2 linked regions of the Drosophila melanogaster genome follow. The protein of the gene in region 1 purifies or fractionates together with the protein of each later gene. This does not show direct contact. Each region holds a gene or a part of one and is shown on either strand. Other genes may lie near its edges. The genes, in order: Polr2H and CG30458.

Region 1 (3,458 bases):
CCTGAAACATACGGACCACCGTCTTTGGTGGAAGCGCCAGCTGAGGTCTACGGCCCACCGGACCAAATTTATGGACCTCCCGATCAGACCTACGGACCTCCAGACCAGCCAGCCAATGATGACAGCTCCAACACATTGCCACAAAGCGCAGCTATAATTAATTTGGCAAGTCTGCCGCTACCACCCCAGGCTCAGTATGTTCTGCCGCTTCTGAACCGACTTTCTGCCTTCCGCCCGCAGCGTCCGGTTCTGCGGACTCCGCAGCGACGGCCGGCTAAGCTTACGGTTCGTCGTCGGCCAGATGCGGTCAAGATTGTGAATGCTATTAGGCCTACTCCAGTGTTCCCATCGACTCCGCAGGCTTTGCCCTTCGTGGATCGCCACATTCCTTTTCGCCCACGGCCATCTCGCCTGATAGTCAATGCGCCTTTCAGACGCCCATCCAGGCAATAGACTACTTCTTTCAGCACTCCAAGCAATGTCATGAATACACTGTAAATAAAGTTTGTTGTCTATGTCTAATTTGCGATCGAAAATAATTAGGTAGAAAATTCAGAAGGCCAGCCGCTTCATCAGCAGGTACATGTGCTGGTCCACCTCGAAGCCATGAAGATTGTTGGCGTCACCCTGAAGTCGCATCAGCAAGCCGCCGAATGACACGTAGGCGGAGAGCCGGGAGGCCTCATTGTGTGCTTCGTCGCCCTCGATCCTGTAGATCTTGCCGTACATCACGTACTCAAAGCTGTCCGCCCGCGTTCCCTCGTGCTCCATTGGATTGTACTCCCCGCTGTCCGGGCAACCATCCTCGCGCAGGGTGGTGGCCAAAACCAGGCGGAACTTGTCGCCCAGCTCCATGGGGTATAGCCACGAGTTGATGTCCAGGATGAGGTCCATCTTAAACGACTCGGACTCGCAGTGCAGGCGGGATACACGGTCGAACTTTTTGCCCTCCGGATCCATGTCCTTTACGTTGAAGATGTCCTCAAAGAGTACTCCAGCCATTTTAACTGAAATGTAGTATTTGATGAGTTATTGCTTTGAAGTCAGTTTAGTGGAGCTCCAAAAACGCACGCCTTACCTTGAGTCGGCTAATTAGATTTTATACGTATTTGATCTTATATGCGGAGGTAAATGCGTGTTCTTTTATGAACTGGGTTTATATCAGCAGAATTTTATTATATTTAAACTGTTAGCGACTAATATTTATTTCTTAAATATTTTGCATGCGCGTGTTAAGTATGAGAGATGCCAGATCTTTCTGGCGGCTTGAGTGTTGCCACACGTCTGCGATTTCAGTGAGCAAAGTGGTCACGTTCAGCAGGCTGTGATTTCAGTGTGTAAAAGAAGTCACGTTCAACAAAGTGTGCCTCACTTTGTTCTTACTGAAATTTCAATAAATATTGCAGTGATACTGCGCAATGTGATTTTTAACTTATTTATAACTTATTGCGCCGCAACCTACACGTTATTGGATTTTCTCTAACTAGTGACTGTGCATCACGCTCCCATCTGTGGCCGCGCAGACAGAGAGTCCCAGTGTGACCGTCTATCGGTGAATACACATCACTAACATTAAGAACAACATCGAAAAACCACCGAAAACTGTTATTTATTTTGCTGGACAAAACGCAGTATTGGCTTAGAATCGGCAAACCCGCAAAGTCCCACAAAGGTTAAGCCGCAGGCAGCACGATGGATACACCTTGAGGAGCCAGTCGGACTGCCACCTAGCGGATTGCAAAAAGTATGTACACACAGCTCGTGGTGTCGAAATTAAAAACAAATAAGAAGCGAACTCATAGTCGGACGCGGAATGCATAGGAAGTCCAGGTGTGTCCCATTCGGGGTGATGCTAAGTTTCCTGTGGATCGAAGGCCCTTAGCCTAGCGACTCCTGCTTTTTGCGAAGGTAAGTCCACGCCCGGTGGGGCTTTGGTGTTGGTGTTGAATGTGGAGCCCCTGGGCCAAATGTGTAGCATATGTGTATAATGGATTGCTTTACGTATATGAGTGCTGTGGTGCTGGTTCATTAATTACTAACAATCGGTTGCAAGACCCCGAAAACTACACAGTCGTCGAGTTTTGTGCCCCGAATACGAAAGACTTCAACGGCCCCTACCCTCATCCAGCGACCGCCGCCGCCTTAACCCTTACCCACCCCCATAACCCCGCCTATTTAGCATTACAAAACTGCTGTTATGTATTCACTTCTTTATTTTCGCTTTTTGTGTGTGATTTTCGCTGTCGTTCGTGCTTTTTGCCCTGTTCTCTTTCAATTTCGATTCCCAGCTGCGGATTCTAGCTTAAATTCGCTTTTTCAACAGTTTGGTCGAGGGCCGTTGTGCTGCTAAAGTGAGTTAGTTTTCAGCTTCTGCGGGTGCGGCTCTAATGAACCATTAACCCTCCGCAGGGGGAGGGGGTTGCTTGGCACTGGAATCGGAATCGGAGGGTTCCCAATCTGCTTGCCAGATGTTCGTCCCAGCCCAGGGTCATCGTAATCGCTCTCTTGCAGTTGCATTTTCAGTGTTCTCGCTTTTCATTGGAAACTCCGCCGCCTCGGAGAACAGACGCCGCGGGATCGAAAACGCTCAGGTTGCACAGCTTTATCTCGATATCTTTTTATAGCTCTACCGTGATTTTAGTGAAAGCGGTGGATTGCTTATCAGTTGTTGCCTTCCTCGGGATCTTATCAGGCGGTTTCTCCATCTCGCTCCCGCCCAAACAAAAGATTAAGACAACAAACTAAGAATTTTTTTTGGAAGCTTACGTTCGCTGGAAATGTCAATTGATAATGCGACCCACTTCAAGACTTGGGCTCCTAGCTCTGTACACCGTGAAAAACAGTCCACAACCTTCCGTTGTTAACTAGATTTGTAAAGAAACGAATATATTTTCTAATTGGATAGCCAATGAATTGCAATTAATTAATTAATTATGATAAACAACGTCTAAAAATCTCAAGTGATTTCGACAACACTGCAAAAATAGTAAGAACTATTGCATTAACGTAAAAAGTGCCATGCTTTTCGAAGCCCCTAAATATGCAAATCCACCAATTTTGGTAATATTTTTCCTGTGCATAGGTCTTATCACTGTTGACACAGCTGGAGTTTCTGTTCCGTTGCTGTTTCTCTTCTTGTTTCTGTTTCGGCTTCACTTGCGGTTACTATTTCTGTCTGTGTTTTTGATTCTCCGTCTGCTTCGGAACGTGGCGCTCGGCGAGTGGAGAATTAAAACAGCTCTTAACTTTTTTTGCAGCCCATCTGAACTAATCCAAACCAAAGGTGAATGGGAACTATCCTAGAAGTAGCAATCGAACCAAAAAATACGAATACCCTAAATTACATACGTAGAACATTAACCCTAGAAGTAAAGACAAACGCAGCAGGTGCCGGTGTTTCCCAGGAAGCGGTCCCCAGAAATTTAGTTACGAATCCAAATAATAAAAACCAAACAAAT
Region 2 (3,109 bases), on another chromosome or scaffold:
CCCTCTTGGCCGTTGCCCACGCCGATGTGTCCCACCTGTCGGGCTACAACTATGCTCCCGTCAGCATCCCACAGCCGGCTCCATTGCCCGTGGCCGCGCCCGCTCCCATCAAGGTTGCGCCCGCTCCCGTGAACACCTACATTCCCCCCGCACCCGCACCAGCTCCCGTCCAGATTGAAGTTCCCGCTCCAGCACCCGCTCCAGTGGCCATTCCCGCTCCTGCTCCCATCAAGGTTGCCCCCGCTCCAGTGAACACCTACATTCCCCCCGCACCCGTTCAGGTTGAGATTCCCGCCCCAGCTCCCGCTCCAGTTGCCATCCCTGCTCCAGCTCCCATCAAGGTTGCTCCCGCACCCGTGAACACCTACATTCCCCCCGCACCCGTGAGCATCCCAGCCCCAGCTCCTCTGCCCGTCAAGGTCGCCCCAGCTCCCGCTCCCGTTCCCGTCCTGGCTCCTCAGCCCGTTCTGGAGGAGATCGAGCCCGTGTCCGCCGATGGCTACCGTTACAAGACCGTCCGCCGTGTGATCCGTCGCCGTTACTAGAGAGCTACTCCATCGATGATCTCCGCCAGGAGAAAAATTATTAAATAAAATAAAAAAAAGTTACTATCTAAACTTTCACTGTGTTTGTCTTATAATTTAACAATTTGTATAAAAACAATTCCTTATCCTTTATTTTTTCTGTATAGCAGTTTAGAATAACCTTTATAGGTACTCTAAAGATGAAGATAGAAATGTGCTCGATTACCAGACATATAATATCCAAAACTGTGATGCATATTCTAAAGAATAAAATAATAGGCGTACAATGTAAAAAAAAAGTAAATAAATATAATTAAACTAGAAATCAAAACACATATCCAACCACTTTTTTTTAGATACATTTCAATCTTTTTGGCGAGCACATCTTTTACTACTTATTTGCACCCACCGAAAACGTGTTCAACGTCTGCCAGCCAAATGATGCGACGTAGAAATACTATAAACTATTTTATTAGCCAGGTGTTCGAAAAAGTCAGAGTCAGTATCCGGACCTGAGTAATTAATTAAGCTTCGCCAGACATTTTCAAGATCAACATAATCTAAACAAATTGAAATTAATTTTGGCATAAACTTGAAACGACTCCATAGGCCCGGCCCCAGGCTAATATTTCGCCCAGCTCAAAAAGCAGAAACAAGGGAATTGAAAACGAAAAAAATAATCCAAAAGAAATAAAATAATTATTAAAACATAAACCCAAGCCAATCTTGCGTGTGGCCCACGACCATTCATCAAAATAAAAACATAATGGCTAAAAAACAAATTAAACCATTATACAGCGTGCAACAATAGGTTTGTTTGATCTAATTAAAGAAGCTTTTGCAGTATCTGAGGACTGAAGACAAAAAGTTGGCCCAAGTCAAAGCAGCGATAATGCGATTTTGGATACCAAAACCTGAAACCAAAGCCAAACGAAACGAAACGAAACCAGAAAACCCGTCAAACCGCCTTGGCATTGGAGGCTCGTTGTCGTGTGTTCGGTATCGCTTGTCTTCCGACTTTTTTGAGTGAGGTGAAGACCCCCATGTATCATGGGGGCATCATGCAATTAATTTGGCTCCGGTTGACCCGCAGCCCCAAAAAACAATGAGCTATAAAAACCGTAGTCACACTTCGAGTTCAGCAGCACAAATCAACTTGTGATCCAAGCAGCAACAAGCCCATCTCCTCAAGATGGTAAGTTCAGGGATTACACTACCTAAAGGATAATCGGCAAAATATATATGCTAAAATTTGATTGAAAAAAATATCTAAACCATATGTATTTCCATCCTAGAAATTCCTTATCATTGCCGTCGCCTTCTTGGCCTGCGCCTACGCTGATGTTTCCGAGCCGGCTGCCGGAGGATACGATTACCCCCAGCCCGCTCCACCGGCGCCTGTGAAGAGCTACATTCCCCCACCGCCACCACCACCCCCACCAGCACCCAAGAACACCTACATTCCTCCCCCGGCTGCTCCTGCCAAGGCCTACATCCCACCCCCACCACCACCACCACCACCGGCGCCAAAGAACACCTACATCCCTCCAGCACCGGCTCCAGTTGCTCCCGTGGAGACCTACATCCCTCCCGCAGCCCCAGCCCCCGCCTACATCCCACCCGCTCCTGTCCAGGCCGAGGAGCCCATCATCGAGGAGATCGAGCAGCCAGCCCAGGACGGCTACCGCTACAAGACCGTCCGTCGCCGCGTCTTCCGTCACCGCAACTAAGTCTGTGTCCCCCAATTGTTGACTAATGTGATAGGCCCCAGGCAATGTTCACCTTGCCCAGGTATCAGTTAATGTTTTCTTTAAAGATGGATGTGAAGAGTAAATAAATAATCAAAAAGCACAACAGTCTCTATTACGTATAAATCAAAAGACAGTAGGCTGACAAAAAGGGCTCAAAAATACAAGTTATGCAACATGTTCCCGCAAAGAAATCAAAACACGACTCTCACCGGACGTGGAGGATCCCTTCCAGAATGTGCCCGATTGGGGAAGGCCATAGAAGAGTGCCCTGTTGCGCGGTCAGATGGCTTCCTGCTCTAATAATTCTGGGCTTTTTGGTATGGTCCTACCACGTATTTGTTTACCAAATCTGCATAAAGAAAGTTTCGGACTACTTGACCATTGGACTGTTGCTCTTTTTCTACCATCTACTGTTGTTCATGTTTCTATGGACATGGTTTCGGTGCATTTTCGTAGCTCCAGTTAGGATTCCCGATCAATGGAAAATATCACCCGAGGATGTCGACAAATTGAAGCGAAACGATGGAATAGAGGGAGCATCTCGAGTCTTAAATTATGCAGCTAGAAATTTACCCATTGCCACGTGCACCATCGATGGACTAGTGAGATATTGCAAGACTTGCTGGATTATTAAGCCGGATAGAGCTCATCACTGTCGAACCTGCCACATGTGCGTCCTGAAAATGGACCACCACTGTCCTTGGATAGTGAACTGCGTGCACTTTCACAACTTCAAGTACTTCATACTCTTCCTGTTTTACGCTGAAGTATATTGCTTTTATCTGTTCTGCGTAATGGTCTATGATTTGTACCTGATTTGTGGCTTTGAAGTTA

The links.
Region 2: the proteins of Polr2H (region 1) and CG30458 purify together in Drosophila melanogaster (affinity purification with mass spectrometry, with the first as the bait; one large-scale study listed by BioGRID). This does not show direct contact.

What each region holds. Positions count from the first base shown.
Region 1 is NT_037436.4:21,726,737-21,730,194, reverse strand, and holds Polr2H (RNA polymerase II, I and III subunit H), read right to left. Parts: upstream 1,264-3,458; 5' UTR 1,079-1,263; intron 1,008-1,078; 5' UTR 1,003-1,007; coding exon 553-1,002; 3' UTR 501-552; downstream 1-500. Other genes in the region: CG14570 (uncharacterized protein), read left to right, coding at 1-453; CG11247 (uncharacterized protein), read left to right, coding at 3,457-3,458.
Region 2 is NT_033778.4:17,157,590-17,160,698, reverse strand, and holds CG30458 (uncharacterized protein), read left to right. Parts: upstream 1-1,660; 5' UTR 1,661-1,716; coding exon 1,717-1,719; intron 1,720-1,819; coding exon 1,820-2,254; 3' UTR 2,255-2,374; downstream 2,375-3,109. Other genes in the region: CG30457 (uncharacterized protein), read left to right, coding at 1-545; CG17287 (uncharacterized protein), read left to right, coding at 2,509-3,109.